3 linked regions of the Lonchura striata genome follow. The protein of the gene in region 2 interacts with the protein of the main gene of each other region in a pairwise test. Links are inferred from orthologs where the notes say so. Each region holds a gene or a part of one and is shown on either strand. Other genes may lie near its edges.

What was found.
Region 1: the proteins of HPGDS (region 2) and ABHD17A interact in binary tests that used the Homo sapiens proteins (3 or more experiments, as listed by UniProt). The two-hybrid records come from large-scale screens. The link is inferred for Lonchura striata from reciprocal best matches to the Homo sapiens genes HPGDS and ABHD17A.
Region 3: the proteins of HPGDS (region 2) and MELTF interact in binary tests that used the Homo sapiens proteins (3 or more experiments, as listed by UniProt). The two-hybrid records come from large-scale screens. The link is inferred for Lonchura striata from reciprocal best matches to the Homo sapiens genes HPGDS and MELTF.

The regions. Positions count from the first base shown.
Region 1 is NC_134630.1:2,612,965-2,623,699, forward strand, and holds the start of ABHD17A (alpha/beta hydrolase domain-containing protein 17A), read right to left. Parts: upstream 4,145-10,735; 5' UTR 4,088-4,144; intron 2,016-4,087; 5' UTR 1,814-2,015; coding exon 1,509-1,813; intron 159-1,508; coding exon 1-158. Other genes in the region: AN1-type zinc finger protein 5, read right to left, coding at 9,315-9,463. UniProt on the Homo sapiens protein: Hydrolyzes fatty acids from S-acylated cysteine residues in proteins. Has depalmitoylating activity towards NRAS. Has depalmitoylating activity towards DLG4/PSD95. May have depalmitoylating activity towards MAP6.
Region 2 is NC_134606.1:51,675,700-51,686,120, reverse strand, and holds the start of HPGDS (hematopoietic prostaglandin D synthase), read right to left. Parts: upstream 4,507-10,421; 5' UTR 4,435-4,506; intron 1-4,434. UniProt on the Homo sapiens protein: Bifunctional enzyme which catalyzes both the conversion of PGH2 to PGD2, a prostaglandin involved in smooth muscle contraction/relaxation and a potent inhibitor of platelet aggregation, and the conjugation of glutathione with a wide range of aryl halides and organic isothiocyanates.
Region 3 is NC_134612.1:14,897,536-14,908,180, forward strand, and holds the start of MELTF (melanotransferrin), read right to left. Parts: upstream 4,234-10,645; 5' UTR 1-4,233. Other genes in the region: DLG1 (disks large homolog 1), read right to left, coding at 5,978-6,084, 7,462-7,553, 7,911-8,020. UniProt on the Homo sapiens protein: Involved in iron cellular uptake. Seems to be internalized and then recycled back to the cell membrane. Binds a single atom of iron per subunit. Could also bind zinc.

The sequences.
Region 1 (10,735 bases), on a different chromosome or scaffold from region 2:
AGTAGAGGTTGCGCTCCGAGGGCCTGCCCGTGCTCACGCCGTAGCCCGAGTAGTCGTAGGAGAAGATGTTGCAGTTGATGCGGGTGCCCAGCCCGATGTAGAAGCTGCTCATCTGGCCCAGGTCCACGGCGTTGCCGTGGGAGAAAAGCACCGTGTACCTGGGACACGGGTACGGAACGTTAATCCTGGGCTCTGCCGCCGTGCCGGAGCTCCAGCAACCAAACCCCGGGACACGAAGGGCCAACACCCCTCCAGCCACCTGGTGACACCCCCAGGGACACCCAGACCCTCCTGCTGCCAGAGCCAGGGGCTCGCTCCCAGCAGGAACAGGCAGCATGAAGGCAGGATGATGATTCTGTTCAAGTTTTTGAGTCTATTTTTGGTTAAAAGCTCAGGATTTGGGGCCGTTTGCCCAATGGGGATTTCAAGTAAGAATTCTGACAGCAGGTTTTTTCTCTCCTGAGCCTGGCAAGACACCAGATGCTGAGAGAGAAGTGAATTGTGGGAGTGACAAGGCACAAGAAATTACCACCATAAGGGGAAAAACAATGTTAATCATAAAAATTAACACTAATAGCAGATTGATGGGAGCCTGGCTCCCTTCTGCCAGAGGGAGGGAGCAGGACCCACTCCCTGCTGAGCCCCTGCAGCTGGTCTGAGTGGTCTGTGGCCAGGCTGAGCCTCCGATCCTGGCCTGGATGCCCAGGGAGCCCCAGCTGGAAGTCAGTGACAGGAGGAGCTGCAGGAAGTCAGACATCCAGCAGCACCTGATACCCCACGGTTTGGTAGGCCTGGTTTCCCCCAGCCCAGGTTCTCCCCTCCAGCCCTGCAGCCTGGGATGCTGCTCTTTGAGGACCTGTTTTTCCTGGGAAGACACAGCAAAGGGGTCAGCTGGGGTGACCTGGCCTCCCTCTGCACCTGAACCCCCAAACTGTGCCACTGCTCAGGGAGCAGCTGCCAAGTCCCCTCCTGTCTCCTCTGCCCAGGCAGTGGCAGCAGGAGGGGGTCTCCATCTCACACCCCAGGGTGCCACTGACCCACGAGAGTGACCAAACCCCTCCTGGCTTTCACTCCTATCACTCTTTTCCTTGAGGAACCAAAAGTCCTTGTGAATTTGACTAAACCAGGTTCCCCTGGCTGGCAGTTGCCCAATCCCCATGGTCACCGCAGGGCTGGGGATGGGCAGAAGCAGCTGGTGCAGCCACCCTGGTGCCCCCTGAGCACCAAGCCCTGAGCAAACAACTGGAGCACTGCAGGGGACTGTGAGACAGCCTGGGGAATCCCCACACCCCTGCAGCCTCTGGCTTTGCCTCTGCTCCTGTTTAGACCCACTCCCAGTGCGGCCACAAGCCGGACCGGTCGGGGAGCCCAGCTCGCCCATCCCACCTGACACCTCCAAAGCAGGGCCAGCTCCTCCAGCGAGGCCCAGCTGAGGGGGAAAAGGGGACAGGAGCCCCCAGGGCAGCCCCAGGGCAAAGCAGTGCCCCAGCTCACACCCAGTGACTCACCTGGCGCCGGGCACGCAGCGGACGTACATGCAGCCGACGCGGTTCCCCCGGCTGCTCTTGGTGACGAACACCTCGATGTTGTCCAGCTCCCGCTGGGAGTACTGGAAATCCGCCCGCTCCTTCAAGTGCAGCTTCCAGCGGCCCGCGGCGCCGCGCAGGGAGCCCGTGCTGCCCACGGGCTCGGGCTCGGGCACCATGGCGTAGGTGGGCTCCGGGGGCAGGAAGGCGAGCTTGGCCGCGATGCGGCTGGGGCAGGGCGGGCAGCAGAAGAGGCAGCAGAGTTGGCTGATCGACAGCCCGTTCATGACGGCGGCGAGGCGGGAGGGGAGGCGGCCGCGCCCGGAGCGAGGGAGGATCCCAATCGGACAGAGGCCGGCAACGACGCCGGGCCCGGAGACGCGCCGTGCTCAGCCGGCCCGGGGCACGGCGGGCGCCGGCCGTGCAGCGCGGCCCGGGGCGGGCGGCGGGGCTGCCGTGTCCATCGGTCCGTCCGGCGGCGGCGGGGGCCTGCGGGCAGGCGGCGGCTCTGAGGGCTCTGTCACCCACGGCCGGGGACAAACGTGCTCCCCGCAGTGTCCCCCCCCGAGCACCTCTGCAGCCCCCACCCAGCACACGCAGCCCCCGCGAAGTCCCAGCTCCTGCCACATTCGCCAGCCCCCGCGGGCAGCCCACGCGGAGGGGGCGAGGACAAGAGCAGGATCCCACACACACCACCCCCACAGCAGCCACACGGCTGATGGGACAAAGAACACCCATCCCCCGGGGCCACCTAGGCGCTCGGGAGTGCCGAGCTCCCCGGGAAAAAGGGGAAAGGGGAGAGGAAGGGGAAAAGAGGAGAGAGGGGAAAAAAAAAAAAAAACGCAACTATTTTCTGCAAGTTTGGGCACAGGCTTGAGCTGAGGAATGTCAAACCAGCCCACACCCCGAGGAATTCGCTCCATCTGCTTCCGAAGGCCTGGGAAAGGGGAGGAAAGGGTGGAAGAGGGATATGGCACTGAAGCTGGGATATGGCACTGAAATATGCCACAACACTGTGAGCGAAGGGATGCCCCGTGCCCCGGTAGGAGCCAGGCCCCCTCGGGCCGGTGACCATCCACAGCAGGGCCAGGGCCGGTGCCACACCTGGCACGTGGCAGCCGCGTCCCTCCCAGGTTTGGCACTCCCGGGGAGTCCGGTGGCCTCGCACCTGCGTGGGGTCCACGCGGGGAGGTGGCACCAGGGGCCACTAACACCGTGTGTCACACGCACACGCTGGGACAAAGCCAGGCACCGGCCGGGGACACCGCGTCGTGGGTGGCCAGCCCCGCCCGGCCCCTGCCCTCGCCCCACGCCTGCTGTGGGGCGTGACCCACGCACACACGCCGACCCCACACCCATCGAGGGGGGTCCGTGCTGTACCCAGCCACTGACCGCTGTGCGGCCCCCACCATGGACTGGTGGGTGCTCCCCCCTCCTCTGACAGGCACGGGACCCCCACCCCACACACGCTGAGCGGGCTGGGGCTGTGGGACCCCCACCCTGACCGCACAGGGGCTGTGGGACCCCCACCCTGACCGCACACACATTTCCCTCCATCGCCTGCTGCGGGCCCCCCCAGCACGGACCCCTCCCCCCAACTCACCCCCACCCCAGAGCGGTGAGTTCTCCCCCTCCCTGTCCATCGCGGCCGTCCCACCTTGCAGACGGGAATGGAGACCCCCACCCCCACTCACACTGCCCCTCACTGATCGCTGAGGGACCCCCAAACACACACGGAGCAGTGGGACCCTCCCCGATCACTGTGTGCGTGTCCCCACAGCCCCACCGGGCCCGTGTAAGTCCCCAGACCCCTCCCGACCTCCTCCATGAGCCCGGGCTGGCCCGCGTGGCTCTGCCCCTGCCCCGGGCCACGCCGCCCACCGGGAGCCTCTCCCGCCTCTGGGGGGTTTCACACACCCTGCCCGGCCTGCACCTCCCGCTGGGGGGGTCCCACACCCCCACCGACCCGCGTGGGCCCCCCAAACCCACACCGACCACAGTGACCCCCAAACCCTCACTGACCACAGTGTACCTGGGACACGGGCACGGAACTAACGTTAATCCTGGGCTCTGCCAGCCGCAGCTCCAGCACGGATATCCCCGGAGGCCAGCAACCAAACCCTCACTGCCCACTGTGTCCCCCCAAACCCTCACTGCCCACTGTGTCCCCCCAAAACCTCACTGCCCACTGTGTCCCCCCAAACCCTCACTGCCCACTGCGTCCCCCCAGACCCTCACTGACCACTGTGTCCCCCCAAACCCTCGCTGACCACTGTGTCCCCCCAAACCCTCACTGACCACCGTCTCCCCAAACCCTTACTAACCGCCGTGTCCCCCCTCACTGCCCACTGTGTCCCCTCCAAACCGTCACTGACCCCCGTGTCCCCCCTCACTGACCAGCACGGCCTCCCCCGCGTGCCGGGGCCTCCCGTACCTCCGGCCGCGCGGCGGGACCCCCCGCTGCACGCCGCGAGCGCCCGGCCGGCGGAGCCCGCCCCCCGCAGGCTGTCCCCGTGCCGTGCCGTGCCGTGCCGTGCTCGTGTGCCCCCGAGCCCCGGTACCTGCGCATCCCCGGCCCCGCTGCCGCTGCCCGAGGCCCCGCGGCCGCTGCGGCCTCCCAGGCGGGGGCGGCGCTGCCCCCCCGGCCGGAAGTGACGCCATCGCCCCGCGCCCGTTGCCATGGGAACAGCGCGGCGCGGCCTGGCCTCGCTCCCGCGCCCCAAAATCCCAAATGGCGCTGGGAGGCACCTCTGGAGATCACCCAGCCTGGCCTCACTCCCCCCCCAAAATCCCAAATGGCGCTGGGAGGCACCTCTGGAGATCACCAGCCCGGCCTCGCTCCCCCCACAAAATCCCAAATGGCGCTGGGAGGCACCTCTGGAGATCACCCAGCCTGGCCTCACTCCCCCCCCAAAATCCCAAATGGCGCTGGGAGGCACCTCTGGAGATCACCCAGCCTGGCCTCACTCCCCCCCCAAAATCCCAAATGGCGCTGGGAGGCACCTCTGGAGATCACCAGCCCGGCCTCGCTCCCCCTCCAAAATCCCAAATGGCGCTGGGAGGCACCTCTGGAGATCACCAGCCTGGCCTCGCTCCCCCCCCCAAAATCCCAAATGGCGCTGGGAGGCACCTCTGGAGATCACCCAGCCCAGCCTCGCTCGCCCCCCAAAATCCCAAATGGCGCTGGGAGGCACCTCTGGAGATCACCCAGCCTGGCCTCGCTCCCGCGCCCCAAAATCCCAAATGGCGCTGGGAGGCACCTCTGGAGATCACCCAGCCTGGCCTCGCTCCCGCGCCCCAAAATCCCAAATGGCGCTGGGAGGCACCTCTGGAGATCACCCAGCCCGGCCTCGCTCCTGCAGCGGGTGGGCTTGGAGTGTCTCCCGAGGGAGGCTTCACCACCTCGCTGCTCAGTGCTCTGCCACCTGCAGTGAGAAGCCCTTCCTCACCTTGAGGTGGGACTTCTGGTGGTTTAGTTTAGTTTATGGCCACTGCAGCACTGAAAGGAGCCTGGTGCTCACGTTGGAGATGTTTATGCGGATTGGCGAGATCGCCTCTTGTTGGAAAATATACCAAGTTTAAAATTTTTATTTCCTAACTTTAGTCACGCTTGTTTGCCTTGGCCCCTTGTTCGCCTTGGCCCCGGGGCATGGGAAGTTTCCCTCCAAAGCATTGTTCCACCAGGAGCAATGAGGAGTTCGGGGCTGAGAGCGGCACAAGAGATACACAAGAGATAAAGGCTATGAAGGGCCACTGGCGAAACATCTGCCACCATCTGCTCCACACCTGCCCCCTGGCACGGCTGGAGACACCTGGAAAAGGCCGATAAGGAAATGCAAATTAGGAGTGAAGAACTAGGTAACATCAGAGGCCAGGAAATCCATATCCAAGAGGAAACCAAGCATTAAGAACTGCACAAGTTGGGACCAATGAACATTCAACCGATGGATTTTTCTATGGGTTTGGGACCGTATAAAATTTGACAAAAATCTAGGAGTTTGAGAAAAATCATGGAGCGCGGTCCCCTGCGGCTGAAGGGCAGCGGGGGCTCCCTGGGGGCCGGCAAGCGGGAGAAGAAGGCGAAAGACAAAGCCCAGATCCCAGAGCAGATCCCGGGCAGCAAGGAGCAGCAGCAGGAGGAGGAGGAGAAGCGCGGGCTGGACAAGCGGACCCCGGCGCAGGAGAAGCAGCAAATGGAGCGGATCCTGAAGGCAGCGTGGGAAAGCCGCAAGCAGCGAGAGGAGGAGTCCAGCAGGCACAGTGAGCACTGCCACATTCCCAAAGTCAGCGGCACGGAATGAACGGGCTGCTCGGCACGGCTCCGGAGCTGCGTTTGGTTTCTGTCAATGTCAGTCTGGCTGTTCTCCGTAGTTATATTCTTGAGTTTAACTTCTGAGCTTTTATGACTTCATAATGTCTTATAGTCTTTTTTTTTTTAAAAAACCAAACATCCAACACTCTCCGTCTACTCTGGATTAACCAAGCCCAGCTCCCAGTGTCTCTCCTCACCAGAAGCTCCAGGCCCCAAATCACCTCTGGGGCCTCCACTGGACCCTCTCCAGTAGCTCCTTGTCCTTCCTCTCCAGAACTGGACACAGCAGCCCAGATGTGCCTCACTAGGGCCGAGCAGAGGGGCAGGATCCCTCCCTACCCTGCTGGCCACACTCCTCCCGATGTCCCCAGGGTCCCAGTGTCCCCCTGGCCCCAGGACACTCTGCTGCCTCAGGGACAGTTTGTCATCCCCCAGGAGCCCCAGGCCCTCCTCTGCAGAGCTGCTCCCCAGTGGGTCACCCCCAGCCTGTGCTGGCCCCTGGGGTTTGTCCTCCCCGGGTGCAGGACCCTACACTTGCCCTTGTTGAACCCCCTTGGGTTTGCCCCCTCCCAGGCCCCTCTGAATGGCAGCACGGCCTTCAGGAGAGTCAGTCACTCCCCTGAAACCTGATCAGTCCATTCTATCCCCCGCAGGTTGCTACACGAACTGAGCAGGGCTGGAGCAGGCACGGATCCCTGGGGACTCTGCTGTGCTTCCAGGCCCCTCCGAGCTCTGCACTCAGCCAGGCCCTCCGCACTCCATTTTCCCACATCTCCCGTGTCCACCTGCAAAGATGTCACGGGAGGCAGCGTCCAAAGCCTTGCTGAAGTCAGTCCTGGTGCCAAACACTGCCCAAATGCCCCCACGTGGGGAGGGGGGTGGCTTTGGGGGCCTGTCCCAAACTCCCTTTCCTGCCCCACGGAGGTGACAGCAGACAGGAGGGAACCCGGGAGAACCTTGGAGCCCCTCAGACCCAGCCAGGGCTCCCTACTGAGCCAAAAGGCAAAATCCCAGACTTGTCAGGGCTGAAGTGACCCCTGGAGATCCAGCCCAGCCCCTGGTGGAGTTGAGATCAGGGGGGTGCAGGTCTGGGGTGCTCTGATCCCCAGCCAGCACCAGGTACTGTGAATGATCATCCACAGGGAAACTGAGGCACAGAGCCCCACAGCCACCCCAAAAGAGCCAAGCCAAGCCCCCCAGGCATCCTGCCTGAAACAAAGCACCCACAGCATCCAAGCAAACTAGACTGTGTTGTATTTACACTCATGGACAGGGAGGGAGGAACAGGGAAAAGGGCGGTGCTGGAGAAGCAGGTGGCTGTGGCCTTTCCCAAGGATCCACGGGAGCTGCTGCACTTCTTCGGGGCTGGTGGCCAAAATTCCTGCATCCCCTGAGGGTGAGGGATCATCCTCAGCCAACAGCTGGGCCAAACCCAGCCTGGCCACCACCATCTCTGTGCTGGCCCAGGTGTGTCCAGGGCTAACACGTGCAGCCACTTGCATGCTCCAGACATGTCAGTGTTATCCAGAAGGAAAAACCTGAGGAAAAGGCTGGCGAGAGGCAGCCTCACTCCTCTCTGTGCTGCAGGGGGGTTTGCAGCAGTTTGGGAGGTTCAGATGCTGCCAGCAGCAGCACAGGATGGCAGCTGGCACAGAGCACACGCTGCTTTGGCTGGAGCAGACTGCAAAAACCAAACACTCCAGCACCTGGGCAGAACTGCCACAAGCAGGGCAGGAAAACAGCCTTTGGAAGGAAGGAGCTGCTATGGTTTCCCCCAGCTGGGCCCTGCAGCTGTGCTGACACCAAGGGAAATGCTTCCAAAGCGTGGGATGGCCAGCAGAGTGGGACAGAGGCTGCTGCTTGTCCCCCGGGACACATCCGGGTTTCTCTGCTTGAGAAAGCCAGAGTTCCGTGGCCACAGCCCCGCTCCTGGTGTTCCCAGGAATCCCCTGGGCATGGAGGCCGTGGCTGTGCCCCAGGAGCCTCTGCCTGCCTTGTGCTGCACCCCTGAGCCCCAGGTCCTCCCAACCGAGCCCTCCAGGTGCTCTTTCTGGAGTGGAACTGAGTGGCATTTGGTTTTTCCCACACCTCCCTTCCTGTGTGAGTGCGTGAGAGCAGCCCTAGAGCCTTCCACGTGCCTCTTAGGGTGCTTGAGGCCTCTGAGCGTGTTCACTGTACCCCAAAGCTCTCCTTCTGCCTTTCCTTGCACCCCGGAGCCCTCCCTGGGCCTTCCAGCACCTCAGGGAATTCTGAGTCTCAGTGAGCCCAGAGGCCTCCAAGCACCTCTCCCTGCTCCCTGGGTCTCTCCATGGGCGTTTCTGAGCCCCCACTTGGACATCTGGGCACCCCAGGACCCTCCTCGTGACTTTCCCTGTGCCCCAGTTCCCTCTGTCTGGCTTGCAGAGCATCTCCTGGGGACCTGGCCCTGCCTCTCATCCCACAGGGAGGGAGGAGGCAGAGGAGGGCAGCTGGGTGGGCTCCCCGAGCTCTCCCCAGTACCAGCATGGCCCACATGGGAGGAGGGGACCCCACTGTCACCTGGGTGCAGGGACAGGTCCAGAAGCAGAGGCGTGGGGACCTGAGCTTTGTGCACAACCCTGATGAGAGCGACTCGTGTAAGGCAGAAGGCAGGGAGAGAGGAGAGAAGGGAGAGGAGAAAGGGGAAAGAGGGGAGAGAGGAGAGCAGGCACAGGCAGTGCTGAGGGACACACACCTTGCTGGGAAAGCAGCCGGGGTTATCCAGGGGTGCTGAAGCAGGAGGCTGGAGCAGGGGTGTCCCTGGCTGCCTCCCTGTGAGAGAGGCACAAGGCAGCAAGCAGAACCTCCTGGAAGGTCCTGCCCTGCCCACATCAAGCCACAATATAACTTCCCTGTGCCAGCATCACTGCTCAACCCCCTTGGTGCTTCTCCAACAGCGTCAGCAGAGGGTGGGGAGAGGGGTCTGGGGTGCTGAACTACAGAATCAACTTTTGTGCATCTGAGAGCAAACACCTCCCGGGGAGCAGACGGCAGCCTGGCTGCCAGGATCCCCCAGCTCCCGGGACTGCAGGCAGAGGGAACAGAGTCCAGCAGCTGCTCGGGGACTGCAGCCACAAGCCCTGGGTGCTTTGCAGGACTCGGAGCCGCCGGGAAGGGAAAGGCTGCCCGGCAGAGCCCGGCCGCTCATACTGCCCGGCAAGAGGCAAGTGCCAAGGTCTTAGCGCTGGAGCAGCGGGGCAGGACGGTCCCTTTTCCTCTGGGAAGCTGGTTGAGAACACATCAGCTGAGCTGTGGCTGTCGGACAGGCAGGAAGGGAGAGGAGGAACACCAGCTGACTGCCAGAGGTGCGAGGAGTCCCCGTGTCCAGGTGCCGGTTTGTGAGCACTGCTGGAGTCACCCTCGCACCGCCGCAGGGGCTGGGAGGAGGAGGAGGAAGGCCGGGAGGAAGGGGAGGAGCACCAGGCGGCCTGGCTGCAGTTCGAGCTGCTCGGACCCCTTCACAACTTCTGGATCTTCTCGGCGATAACGATGGGGTTTTCCTTGCGGATCTTCTCGGCAGCTTCTGCCTTGTAGTCGTAGGGGCAGGCGTGCATGTCAGAGTACCGGTGAATGGCACAGAACAGGTTCCCGCAGCGGCAGTCGAAGCCTGAGGGGAGGAAGAGCGGGGACAAAGCCACATGAGACCCCATCCAGCAGAGCAGGAAGGCGTCAGGGCCTGGCTCCTTCCTGCCACGCCAGGAAATGCCACCAATGCAGAGAGAGGGGCAAGGGAGGGTGCCTGCTGTTCCCCACAGGCCAAAGGGACTCTTCATTTGGGGAAGACCATGGGTGGCTCTTTGCTTTCCTCTGGCTCAGGAGCTCCGTGTGCTTTGGGCAGCCCCAGCTGTCATGTGGGAAATGCTCCCAGAGCAGCTGCTGTCCGTGCTCCCTGGGGACAAGGGACGTGCCAGGCACTGCAGAGTGCCAGACTGCTAATCCAGACCAGGCTCCCCAGGCAGCCCGAGCTGGAGCTCAGCCCTGTGAGCCAGTCCAGCTCCCCAGGGACACACAGCAGCAGCTGGACTGACCAGCAGCAAGCAGCAGAGCTGTCACCACCTTAGGATCATGTTTGAGCTATTTAGGCTTCAAAACTCCCACTTTAGTCACTTCACTCTGAGACAATGCTCAGAGTGCTACCATTAACACAGCACACTGGGAAAGCAAGGCAGGGAGCGAGCAGGGGATGTGCTGCAGGACAGCAGGAAATCTTGCTGGCAGGGAATCATGCTCTGTCCCTTCATTTTTTTCTAACTACAGGCTGTAAAGCCCACCAACACCTTGCTCCAAGGTGCCAGTTTACTCCTGGTTGAGAAAACTCATTTTATCCTAAATGCCCTGAATTCACAGGAATTCTCTGTAAGTTGAATCCTAAAGAAGAGAACTTTTCATAGTTTAAAGCTTGTAAGGAAACCCTCATTCAGGAAAACAATCCTCTCTGCACCCTGAAGGCTGGGCACAGAGTGCCCAACCCAGATCCAGGTTTATAAACCCACCCCCTATTCTAGGACAGTGCCCATGGATTTCCAGGCAAGCTCAGGTTCAAACTTTCCAGTCTAGACTTTGCCAAAGCCTCTTATAGCCATGAAAACAGCCAGTCCCTGGCTGCTGGATGCCCCAAGCAGGCTACAGAAGCAAGTGCTCTGCCAGAACACCATGACCTCCACAGCTCCAGAGTTAACTTTTTTCCAGAGAAGTACTAAATGCCAGAGATAATTTAGTGGAAGGATGTTTTTATTAGCAAACTACAGCCAAATTAATTGCTTCACTTTCCAGAAGCTGTTTTCCCATTGATAGCAGTGCCCTGACACCATCCCAGCACTTCTCTCTCCAGCTTTACAGGCTGCATGCTGAGAGCCATCCTGCTTTCAGGAAGCTAACA
Region 2 (10,421 bases):
TGTTTTGACAGAAAATAAAATTAAAAACTCTAATTCTATTTGCTGTCAGCTCTCTTTCTGAAAATTGATGGTCTCTTTTCCCACTCTGGTCCAGTTATAGAAAATAAGCATATGAAATTGATAGCTTATATTTCTAAGCAAGATAGCAGTCTGGACCTCGGAAAAAAAAGCGGAAAAAAAATGTGCACCCTTTTCTGTTTAATACACAAATCATCTGAAGTGAATGTTTATGGAATTTTATGTAGGGTCAACTTTTGAAATAATAAATTCCAGATATAACGGATACTTCTTAGCATGATTTTCAAGATTAGATACCTGGATCACTTAGAGCATAATACAGATTTAAATTCTTTTTTAGAAGGATTTTGCATGTGCATGCACCTGCTGTGTTGCTTATTTGTGACCTGTGGGGGAAATCAGCATCCTAAAATGAGAATAAGTTTTAAGGCATTACTGTTAGAGTATTGAGTAGCACTAATAGTTATAACTATTTCAAGTGACCTGATGTGTAAAACTGTACTGTCTAAGCAAAGCCTGATTTGTCAATATGTGGGCTTTAAAAAGAAAGGAGCTGTAGGAGACCTTAAAGCAATTATCTCTCCAATGATGGTTCAGGCCTGATTTGCTGATGTGGAAATTCAGAACCCAAAAAAGTCCTTCAAGAACACAGAAAAAAACCACTAGGTTTTTTGCTGGTTTTTTTTTTTTTAGAAAAATAACCACAATGTATCAGTGAAAGAGGAAGATAAGAAAGATATGAAAGGTGGTTATTTTTTTTTAAGTGGTGGTTATTTTTTTTTTAAGTGGGAGTCCAGTGTGAATGGGCAGTGAATGGATGTCCACTCTCAAGACTTGTTGAAGGAGAATGCCAGACCCCACTGGGTTTCCCTGAGCTAGTTTGCGATTGCCCCTCAAGTAACTACAATCAAACTGATAATAATTAATTCAAATATCTGAAGTTCACTCTGTTTGTTTGAACTGAAGTGAATGAGGGAGGTCTCACATGTCAGCAAAATTAAGGAGGCAGGGAAGTGGTGATGGACTTGGCTTTGCTCAGCCACCTGAGCAGCGTGTCCTCAGTCTGCCTGGCTTGCCACACCCTTCCCTTTAGGGCTTGAGCATCTGTGGTGACTTTGCTTTCTCTCTGATTCTCAAGCTTTGGATTTGTATCACCTTGTTCTCAGTTTTATGTAGGCAACTTTTGAAATTGCTTTGTGCAGCCTCTTTTAGATGAATAAATTCCACACTCAAGACCATGAAATACTGGTAAATAAAATTGCAAGATATCTCAGGAAAGATGCAGGCAAAGCAGTGGTTAGGATCCTTTCTCAGGAAAAACTACTTAAGTCTTATTTCCACATCAGATGTTTCAAGAATTCCCAGAAGCATTTTGTGGTAGAACAAGAGCCTAAATAATCTTGATGTTTGCCAACCCCATGTCATTGCTCTAAAATTCATGCTTTGCATCTCTCTCTGCACTCTTCAGATTAATCAGCATGACCTCATAATATTCTTACAAAGCTCAGAGCTCAGTTGCGAGCAGCGTAGCTCTGTATTTTTCAGTTGGCTCTCCAAAGGCAGCTGCTTTTTGCCAGGATGAATCATGTCCATTTTCTGACCTCTCAAGCCTGTCCAGCACAAAAATTTGTAAAACAACTGTTTTGGTCGCCTAACATATTTCCTTGGATGTGCAAAAGTGGTCTTTTTTCTATCCCAGGAATGTGTGGGAGTGAGTGTGTGTTTAAGTGCAAGAAGGAGTACAAGCACCAAATCCTTCCCCCTGCTTGTCTAAACTACTTTGCTCTTGACCTGTTGCATATGGTCAATCTACTGTATAATTTACTAAAAACACACCAAAATTATAGGCATGAAAGAATTAGGTAGGTTTTTAAGCACTGTATATGACCCCTGTAGCAGGTACAGATTTGACTGGAAAAGGTATTTATTCACTTTGCAGAATTCTCCAGTACCACCTACTTCATGTCCTGGTCACAAATTCCTGCTGCCCTCCTGCTCTGCCCTGCAGTGCCTGGCACAGACCACCGTGCCTGGGTGGCACCAATACAGTGGGCTGGGGCACAGATCTCAAGTATTTTCAGATAGTTTGAAATTCTTTTCTTAGCCAGAGTGAGCCTGAGGAGCATTGCCAGTCTCCTTGAGAGGAACAGCAGTGCCAAATGTAGACTTACAATTCTGAGCAACACGTAGCCAGAAGCCTGGGGACCACCCAAATTTGGCCACAAGTGAGAAATTTGCAGTTTGAGACACAGTCACAAATTGCTTGTTATGTAAAACCCTAATCTGTGTGTTCCTACACTTTAGTAGAAAGTACTTTCTGAGAGGCAGTTTGCTGCTAGTTTCTCAGGGAAACCTTTCATCACACATCAACTAAACTAAGCCTGTGAGACAGCTTAAACCTTTGTTTCCCTTCCCTCTTTGCATCTGCTACAACTACAAAGCATAGTACACTTTGCCTGGTATCACTGAATGTCCTTGTTTTCTCTCCTTTTCCATCTCATGCTTATTCTTTACTAAGTAATTTCAGCAATATTTTTAGTTACTTCTAAAGAGATTCAAAAGTAGGTGTTTCAGTTTTTCCTCAGTTCATTGTAGCTTGTTTTCTGGGAGTTTTAGCAGATTGCCTTGCGATCAAACAAAGTTCTTCAAAGTAGAAATGTATATGTGGGATTTGGCTTCTTTTTTTCCCCCTTATTTTTTTCCTCACACTTCTAGGACTAACTGTAAAAAGGGTAAAATAATCACCTGTTTGAGATTTGCAGCATATATGATATGACAGGTGTGAATAAGCATAGCTTTCTGTGCCCCCTGCTAGCCCAATCAGCCTCATCAGTGGCTCCTGGGCAGTGTAATTACTTTCTGGTGAGATTTTGATCTAGGATATTTTGAAAATGAGCACTAGATTCAACTGCTCCTGCTTTCCAGCTGCTCAGGAGAAGGTGGGATAGACAGCAATGACAAATGTTATGAGCAAACATAATAGCTTAGAGCACCAGAGCATGTTGGGCAGTGGCATAGGAGCATGCTGCACTAGCTAGCATGCTTGCTGGTGCAGGAACCAGAAATCTTTTAAGAACCACTTTGTGTATATTTTCAGTTTAAAAGTTAGAGAGCTTCAGTCTTATTTCTATACAAATGGATTTGACTGTGTGCCTGGGCATGTGTGTGTCTGCTGCGAGGAATAATTTACACAATGTGCACTTTTTTAGGGAGAGGTGGATTCTGTTTTGGATTAAATAAAACAAAAGAATGAACAAAAGTAAACTTAAAAAAGACCTCTGTGTCTTTTTTTTCTTTACAAATGTTGCAAGTTTTAGTATAAAAGTACTTGTGTTTACAAACAGTTGTAAGGAGTACAGAAGCCCGGGAAAGATACTTTTATAGCTACGGTTTGTTTGCTTGGATAGTCTGAAATGAACAGGGAACAACAGACTGCTTTTAACAGAGGAAATGTGTGTGGGAGGATTATGTATATAGGAAAATGACAGCAGTTAGAATGAAAGAAAAAAAATCCTCAATGCCTATTTAGACTATAATTTTGAAGTAAAAAAACAAATAACAAAAAAACCTTCAACTTTGATAAGGAGAAAAATTGAGTAAGTGGAGTCAGATGCAGGAGATTTTTACTCTATACAATGACTGTGGGAATTAAGACCAGAGTATGTTAATCCATTGCTTTAGAACACAGGAACTTGAAAAATGAACAGAACAGGGCACAACAATGACCTAGAATAACTGGTTGGTGCTGCTTAAAATTCATCTAATTTCTCTGACATTAGCCTAGATTTAGCTTGGTTATGTAAGTGAAGGCATTTTAGTCAGCCTTTACCTCTAATGGAATATTGGCTTGAAATAAGTTTCCACTTATTGAAAACTCTGCAGAATTCCCAGAGCCTCCTCACTCTGATTTCTTGGCAAGTACCTGACACATAGCCTTATTATCGAAGTAGCTCAGCACTGACTGAGCAAGGACGAGGAACAGGGGCTTGGTTGTACAACAAGCCAGTGATCAGCCTGTTTGCCTCTGGAAAAGCAGCTCACAATTTGGAGTGAAGTCTGGTTTTAGCGTTGCACGTGGTCGTACAGATGTCCTAAGTGCAGCAGGCAGAGGTGAAGGATGCCTGTAAGCGGCAGAGGAGGCATAGATGAGGTGCTTGAGTTACACTCACGGCCACCGTGTAGCGCGCTGCTCTCTATAGAGCGCTCCTCTCTGCCGGTAGTACCAGCCGGAGGGCCAGGCTGGATAAACCGAGCAAATCTCAGAAAATCAAACGCTCTCAGGACGTGCTCTACACGTAGCATAACTTGACAGCCTGACCTCGCTCACAGCCGCTGTAGCCTAGGGAGGGCAGAGTAGGATGAGAGAAGCAAGGGGAGAGAGGAGCAGGGCGGCAGCAGAGCCGAAGCAGAACTCACTCGGTGCGGCGGTGCGCGGTCCCTCCTGCTGCCCCGGAGTCCCGCCGAGCGCCGACCCCGAAGAGGCTGCGGCGCTCGGGCACGGGCTATTAATACACAACCATCCCCTCCCATCGCCGCCTGCATGACTCTCCTCCCCCGGCCCGCACTCACACGGTATCTGCCTTATTCCTGATAACCAGCGAGTTTGCTGACTTGGGGATGGCAGAGCGTACTGAGTGCTGGAATTTCTTGGCTTTCGCTCAAGTGTAAAAGTGCTATTTGAATAGATACAATAAAAATAAGATAGGCGTTGAGGAGTCAGATGATGGGTGCTTTTTCTAAATGTAAAATGTGTGGAACAAGCCAAGTAATGTCTTTTTTAGATTATTTTTAACTAATGTGAAGCCCATGCTATCTGATCTTTTTATAGAGGAATGCCTCAAACAGCTGCAAACAGAGACACTCCACTCCAGCACCAGAAAACCCAGAAAAAAACACTCCAAAATGCCTCACCATCAGCACAAAAAAAAAAAAGCCATCTCCTAAGCCTTTTACATAAAGAACCAAGTGTGATTTAAGTTTGTGATTTTGGTGGGTAGGTTATTTGTTATCAGTAAAGAAGGATTTGTGCAAACTGTGTCTGTGAGTAATGCACATTTGTAGTTATGGCTGTCATGCTGCTGCTTCTCATCTACAGTGGATGTTGTGCTTTTCTGTTTGTTTTTCTTTCTCCTTTTCATTGTACTTCAGCCTTAACAAAGTCCACTTGATGTTGCTCTGCTTTGCTCTCCTCTGAGTATGGGACCAGAATGCAGCAGAGTTAGAGCAAAGGAGCAAAGTTTTCTGATGCTGTAGTGCAATGTGTGCCACACAAATCTGCTCTGAGGCTTTCTTCACTTTGTGTCAATAAACAGTTGTGTGTGTGTTCCCTGCAGCTGCGAGGAATGGTGCTAACCAAAGCACTGTGTCCTGGCATGAAGTGATAGATCACACTCTTCAACTTTTGCTGCAAGCCAACTCATTTTCATGTAATTCATGCTTTTCCCTGATGCAAACAGCTGAGTTTTCAGAAACCAACAGCCTTTACAGCTAAGAAAAGAATTATAAATAGAACCCCAAAGTGTCTTCTGATTTGGACTGATGTAGACTGAGTGATAAACCAAATTACTGAGGCTTACCTTGGTGGTGGGCCTTCCATGCTTTCAGATTTGCCTTGGCTTCAGGTTCATTCTTTAATGTTCCTTTTCTCCAGAATGTCAACTTGGAGGTGGTGGTTTCGAGTGGATCCCAAAAAGAAAGTTTAAAGTGCTCTAACACCATATTTCATCAGTTTTTTATTGTTGACTTGTGATAAAGCAGCCTATATGAGGTGAAACAGTTCCTTCAGTTGCAGAGAAGTGGTTTGAGACTTCTTCTTCATTTCATTTACAGAAAACTGAAGGAATATTTATGGCTCTAAAGCTAATGGAATTTGATACAAACTTTTTTATAAATGTTTGCAAATTGTAAGCAGCTAGGAACTTTTATTTATTTTAATTTAGAGCAGAGAGTGGAACACAGCAGCATGTTGTGGGATTTGGTTCTCAGCCTTCTCAAAGGGAAGCAGAAGGTATTATTGTCCAGGAATTGTTTTCAACAGACAGCAGTTTACTTCTACCCTAGCAAGGTTACCAGCAAAAACATGGTAAAGCATTAGTAAGCACACTGGTAATCTAACCTTTGATTTCTCTGTGAGCCATTTAATGAGTTTAAACTGTACCTTCACTCCAAATGTTCCATTCATTGAGCTGGTATAAAACCCAAGTACTCTTCTGTGCTACAATTATACCTTCAATGACTGATGAGCTACTGAAACACCCTTTTTTCCTTTGCTGTTGGAAATCTTTAATGTAGATCAGGGAGAAAAGATTTGCCTGTGACAGGAGTGTGCTGGGACCACGTTTTTTACTTCCTGTTTTGAGTGGGTAACTGAGTCCCTGTCCAGTGGAAGTTGCACTCAGGCCATGCGTTATTCCCTCCCGTCACTTCTGCTCTGAGCACCTTAGGGTCTGACAGGAGTGTGGGTATGCAGATAGTGGGATTGACAGCTATCACTCAAGCTGAGTACAACTCATTACATGATCAAGAAGTAGGCTCTCCTAAAGAAAAAGTAATTCTTCTTTCCACCAGATTTGGCTCAATTCATGTGAATTATCAAATAAATTTCTCTGCTTTCTAAAATGGGAAGTGATTTGTGCATACGATTTCAAAATAATGAAGTTAGTAGTGCACTGACCTGATCTAACCTTGTTTCCATTTGCTGATGATTTCTTACAGATTAAGCTCTCCCTTTCTGTTGCCCTTTTGGCCTGCAACTGCTGATGACGGCATGAAAAATTGGCTGAACTGCTCAATGAAGCGGTCAGGCTGGGACTGTCTATCCATCTGTTACATGAGGCTCCTTGCCTAACGTGTCTTTTACCTCTGTCCAACTTCTGGAAACCTCAGAGATGGGAGAGCGAACCAGTCAAGACGGTGATGTATTAAATGAAGCATGTGTAAAACCTGGGTGCAGAGATATCCATTCATGTCCAATACCTTTCCTGGGAATGGCAGCAGGGGCCCTTTAATGGCAGGAGCTGCAGTCAGATGTCTCAGGACTCAGCAGTTGACCTCTTGCCCTTTTGGTCATGGAGCAACATAAAGGTTTCTCATGGTCAGCTGAGCCCCATGACCAGCTGTGGGTGTAATTGTGTGGAGTCAGTGAAAGGATATTTTCTATGTGTTTTACACAGGGAAGTGAGGACATTAAGTCAACGACACATTTCCTTTCTTGGTCAGCATGGGGACTCTCCTTGTGGTTTGAAAGCCCTAGATAAATAAAAAGCAGAGGAACTCACATGGATTAAATTTAAATCCAAGATTTAGTTCAGCAGATGTCCCTTTCAGGGCATTCACAGGCTATTAGGGGATCAGTGCACTCCAGGCAGATCTCCTGCTCCCTGACTTCTAAGAGTTGAGGGATCCCTCTGCCTATTGACTTGTGGCCAGAACTTCCCCATCTCTTCTGTCCAGCTGCTGTTCCACCTTGTGCCTGGGAACTGATGTTTAAGCAGAAGGTTTGAAACAAAATGTAGCACCTCATGAAGATGCCCATATTCTGTTGCAGGTCTCTGTGGTGAGATAGCTTGCTTACTCATGTGCCAGGGAAAGCAGCCACGATTCCTGACATCTTGCTTTGGGAACAGTAAGAGGCCAGCTCCCCAGAGCTGAAATGGGAGTAAGCACAGAAGAGAGAGCTGCCATAGAGCAGCTTTTTCTCTGCTGGGAAGGAAATTCCAACCATTTTTTAAGGTGAGTTGACTTTTGCACTTCAAAAAACATGGCCATCCCATCACTAATAACCTGCTGTTAGTGCACCTGTTTGTGTGTTCAAGAGAATAAATCCACCCAAGTCAGAAGTTTCATTGTAAACTTAGATATGGTCATCATGTTCACATCCTTAGTAATTTCCTCACCTACCTCTGCCTTGTTTGTTTTTTAAATTATGGTGCTATACTGCTGTTAGAGACTTGAGCAAACTAGTATAAAATACAGGAAGTGAACAATTACAAATTTCATCATTTTTAAGCCACTTAAGGAGGGATATTAAGTCTGCAAAATGCTAGACCTGCAAAGGCACTTGCTCTATTATGTGTATATGTAATAGAGTTCAGCAATTTGCCTTCTCTTTTAGCAAGCAGTAAATTCAGCCAGAAAAGTATACCTATAGAAAGACCTAATGTTGGACTTTCATTGCTTAGGTTTGCAAACACTTTTGAAAAAAGAAATGCTGGGGGGAATATTGAAAGTATGAGGTATTTATTTTTTTTAAAGTCGATGCATTTAAAGTTTATTGGGAATTAATGTTTCTGTTGCCTATTTTCTTATTTGAAATATTTAATATTTGAAAATACCATCTGTGTCAATATAAGCATGTTTCTATATGTGTAGCTTGCTCTGCTCATGCATATTCCATTACATTTTTAATGATATTTTGTTAAAAATATATAGAAGAGTCACAAATGCATTTAAAAGAATTTATCCATTCTTAATCAAATATCCTTCCAGTGTTACTGTAGCTCTAGTAAAAGGCCATGCTTAATGATCAATGAGATCATTACACAAGTAATAATGAGATTTTCTTTTGAAGTAGAGCAGCTTAGAGAAGTAATCAACTACAGACATGCTTGCAATTTTGGGGTTTTAAGTTTAGCTGATCACTTTTATTTTTCCTCTGTTCCGGGAAGCAGGGAGCTTTTGTGTGTACAGTGAAAAACATCAGCTGAAAGATTCATCTTCAAGTTACTACATGGAGAGCCATAAGGAGCTGTCAGACACACTTCTTCATTTTTGGAAGTGGTCTCTTGTCTTTATTCCTAAGTTTATTCCTAAGATGCACAGCTACAGGTGTTTTTTTAATATGAAAGACCCTGATCCAAAGTCCAGTGAAGCTGGCATGAGGACTTGTGGGCTCTCATCTCAGGGGCTGGTTTTGTCCTTGGGAATTTGGGCAGGCTCATAATGGCTCATTTAGTTGGAGCATTTGGAATTGTCTTTTCTAGTGTGTTTGCCTCAGTCCTGAGATAGTTGGCAAATTATTTGCTTGATCTTAGCACTTCTATTTATGAGAAACTGGCCAAAGCTTAAAATGCCAGTTTCCCTATGGAGTGCATTTATCCCAGTAGCTTTTCTACCTTAGCAGAGGACATTCTTCCCAGCTCATAGGGAGTTACATGCATACCTGACAAATAAGTTAAAATTGTTGATGAATAGCCAGAGAACTCATCTATTCAGAAGATGCAGTTCAGCACAGAGACACTGAATGGAAGTCTTTGGTATGTCAGCTGATGGCTGACTGCCTACCCTTTGAGGTCTCTATACCAAAGCTTTGTTTCCCATTACATCCTGCAGAAACTTGTCATGGAAATAAAAAACCACATGGCCAAGTCAGAGCCAAACAGTTGCTTTTCTAATTTCAATTCACATTTTGTTATCTCTGTTTAAAAGGGAAGGAAAAGATAAGAAATAAATAACTGTACAAGTTGCAGGAGATAAAAGAGCTTTGTTCCTCATTTTATTAATGTGGTCAAAGTACTGATGAAAGCTGGGGATGCTATCTGCTTACTTGGAAAGATAAATCATGAGGTTTCACCCCCTTGTGGGCCTTGCAATTGTATCACGTTGCATGAACAACTACGTAAAGGAATCAGATGTGCTTTATGAGCTGGAGAATAATCTGTGATTCACAGAAGTAGGTCAATACAATTAGTGAAATGTTAAGACTCATAATGTAACATGTGATGTCTGCCTGAATCCATCCACATCAGTTTCAGCAGGGATAACATTAGACAAATGTGTTACTTAAGCAAATTAAAGCTTTTAAAGGGAAACCTTCTTAAAAACATGAAGCTTGTTCATCTCATGTACAAGTACTGGACAGTCCCACTTGTAAGCCCCCAGGGAGCCCTGAGCTGGCAGCACAGGATCTGTTTACAGATATGCCCTTAGAGGGATGAAGGAGGAGAAATCATCCACTTCAACATTTTGAAATTTGAGACTTCTTAAAAAAACCTCAATCTTTTCATGCTGTCCTTTGTGATTTCACAAAATGAATCCAGCAGGGACTTTCCAGAACCAGCTGCTCTAATCACAATGGAAACCAGTACTAGTTGGTAAATCCAATGTAAATTCACTAAGGGAGTGCTTGTATTTTTCTCCAAATGACAGAACGTAGCCAGCTCTATAGCCAGCCCACCTTTGAAACTCACTGTGTGCCCAGTGTATTGGTATGGTGAAGGATGTTAGAGGAAGTGTAATATATATTTTTAAAACATACTAAAAATACCAGATGACAAATTAACTTGTCTAGCTAAAACACTAGATTATTTAAGGAGAAATTTTCAGGAAGAATTAACACCAATAGACAGAGGTAGTTCTCAGAACTTATTACAGAGACAAGAGGAAGAAGGGGTAAATCTTTGTGC
Region 3 (10,645 bases), on a different chromosome or scaffold from region 2:
TAGTGCCTGCAGACTAAACAAGCCTGTTGATGCCAAAAGATCCAATACTGAAACAGTGGGCCTGGCTTGCTGCTCCTCTGGGACAGAGCCAACTCTACTGCTGTCAACAAACACTAAGTCAGACTTGGAAAGCTTACAGGAAGCTTTCATGGCAGCATATGCCAGAAGAGGGGGAAACAACTGCCCACCTCTGAGTTGCAAGAATTCTGAGAACCAAGACGGTTGGGAGAAAGCTACAACAGGTCATGGTAAAAATACACTTCACAAAAACTTAGTGTTTGTACTACCTCATCTTTCGGGGTGAAATTTTCACCATTAATTCCTTGGGAGTGGAAGGAAAATCCTGTTTTCTACTTTGAGGTTTTCTTTTTATAAACATAAGCAAAGAGAAATTAAACTGGGGACTGAGTCTCTCAGTGTGTATGTATGCTAAGTGCCATTTTTCAGCCTCAGCATTCTGATTTTACATAGAGACACACAGGAGGTAAAGCATCAAAGTATGAAAAAATCATTAGCCATACACCTGAAACATAAAGTTCTTTTAGCTCTGTATTTCAGCCAAAATAGTGAAACGGCATGAATCCATTGGTTTTTTTCCTCACTCATCAAAACCAAGTGTTTATTGGTCCCTTTCCAAATTGCTGAATTTTGTTCTTAGAGGAAAGTCAGATCTGGGCAATATCCTGGCTTCTTCCTTACAAGACAGCCAATCTGAAACGGGCTTGAGCACAGGTAAGGCCTGCAGTTAGCCTCTTCCTACTGCCAAGGAAAACCAGCTTAAAACATCAGGTCAATGTCTGAACCCAAGGTTATTCTCAATTTTGGCCCTTCTGTGTATCAGTAGATATATATATAAAGCTTAAAAAGGCAGAAGCTGGAAACTTCCATTTGAAATATGCTCACAGTCCTAGCACACCTATAACTATCACTGACAAACATCCCAATAGCTCCTCAAAGTAATGATACCACATTGTGTAACATCAAATAGCTATTTATACAGCTACTACTACAGTATCAAGGGCTTTCAACAGAAGAAAAAATGGAAAAAAAAACAGAAATTAACTGGGACCATTTGTTTTCTGAAGAACTGAAGACTGCTTCAGAAAAAGTGCTTACACCTCTTGTGAAATTACAAGCACTCACCAATACAATTTGCGAGTGACAGGAGTAAGTCAACATGTTGCACAGAGCGCGAGAAGTGAAATAAAGCAATTATTTCTATTTTTATAAAGTAAGTGTTACAGAACTGTTCATCGTTGTGAAAAACAGACACCACTGAACCAGAAATTGATTCAGTGCTGGGGAAATACAACATTTGACACCAATGAGTCAAGATATATACATGATGTTCAATGCAGCCTTTCTACTGCTTTTCTATTACTTCAATCTGTTTATTTTCCTGGCCATATGAAATTAGCTCTAAAGTGGTTCTAGTTTCCTTCTGCTCACATCACACAGAGTTCCCATGGCACAGCAAAAGCTTTTGGAGGGCACTTACCAGCATGAAAGAAGAGAAGATAGAAAACATTTCTCAAGCTCTTCATGGTGAAAGTTTTGGGATCTGTGATTTCTTTTTCAGCCTTCAAAATTCCCAGAGATCAAGGCTCCTGCAAGAATGCTCCCTCCAGCCTGGTTTTAGGTGAAAATCAGTTGTGTTCAATTGCAGTTCAATGCACTCTGTTCAGCAACAAGCCCTGCTTACCTCCGCATGCCTCACCTCGTAAGGAGTACAGGAAAAGAAAGCTTCTCCTCACACTGCCTGTACACTTGAAAAAAAATATCAGACCTGGAAATTGCAACATATCTGCGGCACCAATGAGGTCACTACTGCCTTGGCACCACCCACAGACTTCATTCACTAAATTGCTACACACCGGCACACGGGGGTGGGGTAGGGCTGTGGAAACACATCCTTGCTCTGTGGTCTGTGTATTCCCTATACCTGGGGCTCAGGAAGCAGGAGATTCAAGGGAAGCAGTTAATCTGGCAGAGTAGACAGTCACTTGATGCCACATTCTCAGCATTGTCAAAAATTGCTTAAAGCCATCATTAAAAGCCCAGGCTCTTAAAACAGCAAAGCCTGTACACTATACAGGTGGGTACAGCACATGCCAAGTGCACATTTCCTGAAATTTAATAGCAATTGCTATAAAACAGCTGAATCATTCTGGCTTATTTTAAGGTTTAAGAGAAGGCCTAGGAAGGATTCTCTCCCAGAAAGAATCAAAACTGCTGACACTAGCTCTGTTAAAAGCTGCTGTGAACTTTAGTGTAACTTCACAGAGCAATCCTCATTTGTGCTGCCTTTTTATTAATTTCTTATTAGTCAATGAACTGCAGCTGCCTGTAACACTTTGCTTAGATAAAAGCTGCTCAGAAACAGAAGGGCTGTGTGATGTGAGTCCTCACACCCAGGGAGGGCATGAGCCACGCAGCTCTGTGCATCCCCCTGTAGGTCCGGGAGTGTGGCATGATGCCTCCAGCACTCATCAGCTACCTGACTGCAGTTTGGCAACTCTGACTACACCTGTAAGACAACAGCTGAGTTAATTAATTGCTATTTCAAGTTTAGAATTGCAAAAAATAGAGAATGATCTCTCCAGACTTTCTTCCCAAACAAAGCTTTATGGTTGAACTCTTGGCTCCCTAGACCGTCTGGAATTAATTGTCCCTTTGCTGTCTGAAGTGTTAAAGAATAACCCGGTACCACTGGAGTATTTCCAAATGTTTTCAAGGACCCATTGCTCAGATCCTTCCTGTGCCCTTCCTACTGGCCAGATTAACATCTGAAGCCCTCTCTCCCTGATGTTTGCAGAAGGGTTTACATTCATATGGAGATGACAAGACCGACAGTCCTAGTACCAGTTACTTAAGACTGCAAGGGCAGGATTAGTAAAACATGAACCAGGTACCAGGGGTCTCCTGTGGATCCTCTAAAGGAATGGTTCAGAAGGCAGAGGAGCAGCCTTTTTGTACAGGAGGTCTATTCCAAACCCAGCCCCCTCTAAACAACCACACAAGCACAGTTTGTCAGAATTTAAGTAATTTTTCTATTTGATTCTTAACTCTTGAGTATCTGTGCTTTAAGTTTCTTAACCCAGTTTTCAGCACAATTCAGCAAAAATGCCAACAAAGAAATAATATAACTTACAATAATAATATAGGGTAGCAAATACTTCATCAAACATGTGTCTGTATAGCAATTACAAATAGCTGGTTTATCAGGCAGGAAGAAAACCCACAATGCCTTCACTCGGCCAGCAAAAGAGTTGTAATACAGCAGTATGATGCCATTTGTATTTCCTAATTACTCTAGTTGTTAAATTAGAGGCCTTTAGCAAAATACACATATTGTAAAACATAACTCTAAAACACAGAAAAGTGTACCCAAGAATCAGAAGATATATCAGTACTTGATGCTGGAAAAATGAGACCCACAGAAACACTAAGTAATGCAAAACCCTGACAATTACACAAGTTAAGACAACAAGGAGCATCAGGGCTCTCAGAATCAACTTTTCTGCCAGTGTTCAAAGGTAACACTGGAAACAAACAAAACTAAAAACACAAAGCAAATGCTCCAGAGTCCTTTGAGATATCTTGATCTGAGACTTGTTTTCACACCCGCAAGGCTGCTGTGCAAGGTAACTGCTGCGGACTTCAGTCAGAGTGTGTTTGGTGACACCTGGCTACTACAGGACAAGTGCCTGGGGGCAAAGTTCCCCGACAGCTGCTCAGACACTCCAACACATGAAAGAGCAATTCCTCACAGACCTGCTCAGCTGAACAGGGCTCTTTCTGATGGGTTAAAAAAAAGAGGTAAAAAGAAGTGTATACAATGCAGAGATCTCAGATGTGTTTGCAGATTTGATATATTCATATCCTTCTGTTTTTTTTTTTTTTTTTTTAGAGTTACTCTTTTAAGATGTCTCACAAGACACCTCAAACAATCAATCACTTTCAAAAACACAACAGTACACTTCCAGCTGTCTTAAAAATTTATGACATTATTTATCAATTTGCATCAATCTAGTACACCATGCACTTTCATGGGCAGGAGTTCTTAGAAAGGCAGCACACCTGATTTCCCAGATCTTGAGAAGCAGAAATTCTTCTGGGGCATGCACCAGCAGCTTGAACTTCCTGTAAGCTGCACTAGCATCCCATGTAACATCAGCAATAATTGTGTCACAAGTTTAAACTTGCTTTTAATGCATAACTTCAGTAGCCCCAAGGTGGCCACCAGTGTTTCTCTAACACCTGATTTTTGTTTACAGTCCCAGTCAATTATTCTAAAGTGCTACAACACCTGTATTTATCAAAATTAAAAACACACTTGACAAATATATTGTACAATAAAGTTTATTAGCTGTTCTCCTCTTTCTAACAAATGGAATGGATAGTGTTGATAATTCTTTACAAACCAAAGCTGATTTGGTTGTGTGGGGATTTGACTGCCCCATGACTGTCATAAGTACATCCCTCTAAAAACAATCAGTTGCAAACAAGCAATGGCAGGTACCAGATAATACGGGAATTAGAGAATTTCATTATTGAAGGTTTTGGTACAACGTATTCATAACATTCAGCACAGAAGTTTGTGCATTGCAAATGGAAGATCTTGTGCCTGTGCAATCCGAGACGAACACGTACAGAAAAAAATATATTGTTGACTCTGAATTCTCCCTTTGGTTAAGACATGCATATTATAAAGGGGACAGAGGAAGACAAACACCCAGAATTGCGTAGAAAAGAGGAGAACTTGCATGTATTTTTTTCTTGTACTAATATTCCCTGGACTTCATGCCCAGCTATCACAGCCCATTTGATTTTTCCGTGATTAAGGAAGGTAAATTCTAATTTGTTTTTTTTTAATTTTTATTCAAAACAAAAAGCTAGGAGTAGGTGGTAAAAGAAAAATATATATTTTATATATATATTTATACGTGTGCGCAACTATGTAAAGAAAATAATTCCCATAGTTACAGAGTTTAGTTAAAGAAAGTTTAATATATATATATATTTATTATAACAAAATAGGCAGTTATTGTGGGTAAAATATTCATTAAAATCTGACCCCTAAGAACACACACATCTTTAGGCTATGAATCATTCTCTCATTGCCCTAATGACCATCTCTGCAGCTGTTTTCTGAATTATTGCCAATGCAAATTTGGCATTCCTCTGAAAAATACAAGGTTTCCTAGCACCTAAACATATTTTTAGGCTCAAAAAGTGTGACGACCATTATCTATAAAGAATTTCTGTAATACACTATAAATAGTGTTTCATGAGGAAGATTAAAAACATTACACATCTTTGTCCCTAGCAATTTTATTGGCAAAAAAATATGAAAAAATAGATTTTAAGAATATCCATATGAAATTATGAAAATTAATATCCCTTTAGGAGTAGTAATGGGACTTAATGAAAATGCTAACTCAAAATTTAAAAGTTTCTTTCTAACTGCCTGGAAAGAAAAAAGATACCGTGACAATAGGATTGAACTCAAAATAAAACCTGAAATTGATTGCCCTGACCAAACCATGCTATTAAAGTTAAGCGTGCAAAGTTACTCATAATTTACAACTTCCTTGAATACAACTTTTCTTTCAATTGTTATGAAATTTTAAAAGAATGTCTATAAAGCTTTTTTGAAAAATCTTTGAAAGTTACTTTCCCTTAAACATTAAGGAATTTTACCCAGCAATTCCCTCCCACCCCCACCCTAAACTAATAGCTGGTCAGGCCATTCCACTGTCATGTTTGAAAAATGGCAAACCAACAACACACAATAATACAAATTATTTAAACTAAGAGAGACACCAAATGTAAAGCATTATGGGAACTGCAGAATGTGATGGTTAGGGTATGAACCACGCTGGAAAGAACTAGAGGCAGGCTCCACTGGAAGGGCTTAAGAGTCGTCAGATGTAGTAGGTGATGTAGTTAGAAAATGAAAAATAAAAATCTGTTTTCATAATTTTTCCTTTGCTGGAACCCAGATGTAAGGACCAGACTGTTCCTCTATGATCTGTTTCACTTGGTTGTAGATTTCTTCCAGAGTGTCTCCCTGGACAATAGCTGCAAAATATAATGTGGAAGTCAGCAATCATCCCTCCCATTCCGTGCAGAAGCCAGGCTGCTCCTTCCCCTCCGAGTGGCAGGAGGATTTCCGACTGCTGAAGGAACAGACTCCTGTGGACACTCCTGGTTTCAGGGCTGGACTGAAGCAAAGTCTGGAGGACACACAAAGCACTTCCTTGGGGACAGGAACAACCTTTTCCTAGACACAGGTTCCAATTTGCCTGAGCCAATTCACATCCTCCAGTATTCTTTTTGGCCCAACTTTCATTTGTGTTTCTAACACAAGGCACGACAGTGCAGGGCTGTGTCCTCACAGGCTGGTGAACTCCTCAGCTCTGTCCTGAAGCTGCACAGCAAGGCAGGCTGACCTCGAGATGTCTACCTAGCTCTACCTCTGCCTTTGGCTAAAAAAAGGAGGAACTCATGGAGTTTGTTGTCCAGAGAACAGATTCAAGTTTTATAGACAAGAGGCTTCCTTATACAGTTAAAAGTGCAATCTATACTCATTCCTATCATGTCAGTTGATATATTTTTGCCAAGGCTAGAAATTAACTAGAAATTAGCCAATATGGATGTGTTTTGACATATCAGAATAAAATATGGTCTGGTGAAAATGAAGTTTGAGCTGTTCTTACCAACACTTCAGCCTGGAAAAGCAATCACTGTGAGAAAGCAACTTCTTTTTAATTAGTGTCACAATCTCAGCATCAATAATCCAAGAAGTAAAGTTTAACATGAAAGACAGTTTTGGAGGCAGGTCAGACTCACTCTTCTGTGCATTAATAGAGTAGTGCTGCTTCTGAGATTTGCTTTTGTGCAAATTAGTTCCCTTTTATTCCTACCATTCCATTCTTATCTCTTAAAAACCTTCTCCCCATCTGCAGCTCAATGCTGTACTGCCTGTGGGAGGAGGCTGCTCCATTGTTACAGGCCAAGTATAATGTTCACAGCACAACAGTGCATGAGAAAAATTAGAAATGTCTTTGCAAAGCAAATAGGCCATAAGCTTTAGTATCTTCTCTCCAGCTAAGTTCAACCACACCTCTTCCAAACCTCAGTAACCTCAAAGTTGAATAAGGATGTGCTTTTTTTAAGTCGCTGGAAACAAAACTTGCTGATGAAGCTGGAAAATGTCAGAAAGTCTTAGCGTTTTTAAAAACTAAATTAAGCTCCCAGTAAATTTTCGTCTATTTTTTATATTAACTGATCAAAGGAAAATCAGTGTAGAGATATGAAGATAGCTCTATACCTCAGAGTAATCACAGATCATCTGAAAAACAAAGCTCCCTATCTCAGTGGTTAGGCAAGTACTATTTTTACAGCAAGCCATAAAATTTCAACTCAGGCAAGTGAGCAGTCACAAGCAAAACACACCTGTGAAGTGTTCAGTAAATTCTTGCTCCAGTTTCGTGGCCCTCTCAAATGTCTTCCTGGCTTGCTCTTCCGTTAAGCGTTTATTCATTTCCCTGAAAGTGCAAATATTATACCTTTTTAAAACCAATATAAAATACTTGGAGTCTTTAAGGTTTTAAACTGTTGTTTGAATATTAATCCTAATAAAAGGATTAAATCCTAAAGACACCAAGCAAAGACTGTAGTGGAAACTGTTCTAGCATTATGTTGCATGGAATTGAAACAATTTTGTTTTCAAGCACTTTAATTTGGATTAGAAGCCCCATCTTAAAGTCTCTAAAAATTAAATTCAGGGAATTAAATAATATTTAAAACACACACATTACAATTGTCTGCATATAACTTTCAGTTGGCTTTTCAAATACAACAGTCTCAAACAACTTAGCTTGAGGTACTTTATTTTTACTCACATTATATTTTCCACTGTTTTGGGTTTAATAAAAATGGAGATTGGGTAGAGCTGGGCAATCTGCAACCTTTTGATCGCATTACCAGAAACATCAAGAATGCAATGTTTACCCTAAAAAGTGAGAGAGAAAGGAAAATGGCACTAAGCAAAGTTTAAGTCACAAGTAGCATAGTATAATAATTAAGAAGAGAAAACATGTCTCCACTGAAAGCAAGAAAATTAGAATATTTGCATCAGTGGTACTGTGATTTTCACCACTGTGGCACAAGGTCCCCCAATCTCCTCTACTGGATCACACATCACCTTTCTTTCTTCATTCCTTTCTTCATCACAGCTTGCAGCCCAATCAGCAATGCAGAACCATACAGTGGAACAGTTGGACTTCAACTATACCACCAAAATGTTTTATTTTGCTTTGCTTTGGTACTAATTTGAGGATGCTTTACGGAGGTGGCCATGTCACAGATGTGGTTTAGAGAGGAGCCAGATGACTTAACTGGCACACCTGAGGAAGTGCCCACCCCTGTTGACCTGGAAATATGCCACCATATTCAGGTGGAACTGCACACCAGCCCTCTCCTCCCCCAGGTACCAACCAGTAAAAATACAACATTGGAGATGGCGAATGCAATTTATTTGTGTTGATTTGTCATTCATCTCTTGAGAAACAAGTATCCCTTGCCCATTCCTTGGGCACCTGGAAGACAGTGTGATAAGGTTGTTTTCCTCCCCGTCTCTATTCTCCCACTAATATGAATTTTCCAACTTCTCCTGTTCTCAGCAGCTTTCATCTCAGATATGCTCACTTCCACCTCACACTCTTTTACTTCTTTCCTTTCTGAATAGCATAGGATTAATTTTGCATACTGTCTGAAATTACTGACATGCTTCTGCTTCCTGGCAAAAGAAATAACAAGGATCATTTACATTTGATCTCTTTCCCACAAAATCAGAATTTTATTTCAGGAATTTTTAAAGAGCAATGTTCTTCCCACATGAACAACATATATATCTGTTTGCTTTCAGCTAATGGTAGCTGTTTCCCATTTCCAGTCCATGGATCTGGATGCCAACTGGCAACATTTAAAAAAGATGTATGTCCTAGCAGAGTATTTTACATGTGCTGATCTGTCCACATCTTTAAATGTGGCACATGCTCCAAGAACTGAGAATTAAGAGCATTATTTGAAAAAGAATAAAGGACATAGTAAAACACTATTTGCTGTGTTTGGCCCAACAGCTTTAGCCAGGAGCCAAAGGATGGAAGGCTAGAGAGCCAGCACAGTACCTGTGCTGGACCTTATGGGATATAACCATGACAGTTTATTCCAAATCAACAATGACTGTGTATTAACTGTAGCCTTGAGACAGAGATTTGCAAACTGCTGATAATTCCAAAGGAAAGAGGGTATGAAGATTCTTTCCAAGTGAAGATTTGAAAGACAAGGAAAAGAAACACAAGTACATTGTGATACAAGCATGTTTTCATCCAGGGAAGCTATTTTGCTCTTTGCATACTGCATTTAGAATAATATTTGATATATTTTAGTTCCTTTATTGCACTGCATCTGTTTGAGAAGCACCACACAGCAGCCAGTGCCTTCTATAACTGAACAACAGCATCAGAAAGCATCTTCAGCTGTGCCCATTGTGAGCAAGGAAATGAGAGAGACAGGGATCAGCTGGAAGCATGGGCAAATGAACACAACTGAAGGCTATTTTAAGAATACTGTTTCTGGTTCTTTTGGGGTAATAGCAGTCACTTGTGTTCTGTCTTCTCCTAAACTGATTGCAGAAAGTTTGGAAATCATCTTTTGTATCCCAGCAATAAAACCCACTGAAAAGACTGATCTTTTCAGCAAGATGGAAAAGAATACAAGGGTGGGAATAGTTTCAGATCAACCAGTATGCAGCCCTGCCATGATTTTGAAGTACAGTTCTGAAGGACAGACTATTGTTTCCCAGAAAAATAATGTCAGCTGCAACTAAGAAATTGCTGCATCTACCCAAAGTCCGTGGTGCCTGTGCAAGAGATTTAACTGCTAATACTTTGTTCTTTGTGTCCATTTATGAAAAGTTCATAGCAATTCTGTACCTTACTAATCCCCACAGATGGGCAAATAAGCAGAGCCAATTTCAGGTGCAGGATGGAACTGAAGGATAGTATTTGTGCTACCAAGTAAAGCAACTGCCAACAGATTTATAATGTTTAAGCTATTTAATAATTTCATCATTTAGCCACATATGATAGTTTCACAGCTTTGTTCAGCCTCCCATACAAAACACTGTGTATTTACTTGAACAATTCTGTAATTAATATTCTTTTCTTTCCTTTTCTCACTATATCCCATGGGGCCAGGTTCCATTCCATATGGTGACAAAGACAGGAGAAGGAAACATCACTTGCCCCACAGAATCTCACTGTGTTTGCCCTTGTTTTGCTTCCAGTAAATTCAGTTGCCAGAAATAGCAATACTCAACCATTTGGTCAAAATGGTCTACAGAGTTTTCCAGAGGACTGAACTACAGCCCTGTGGCACATGGGTTACTACCCACACTTACTTTCTGCATGCGCAGAAAACCCTTTTGAGTTCCCACCTAGAAAATAGCTGGCCCTTCTTTCACAGAGATCAGAGAGAACTGGCTACTGTAAATGCACTGGATTCACCAGCAGCAGAACAACACTCATCAACTCAACATGGAACATTTGCAAAAAATTTTCACCACATGATTTCC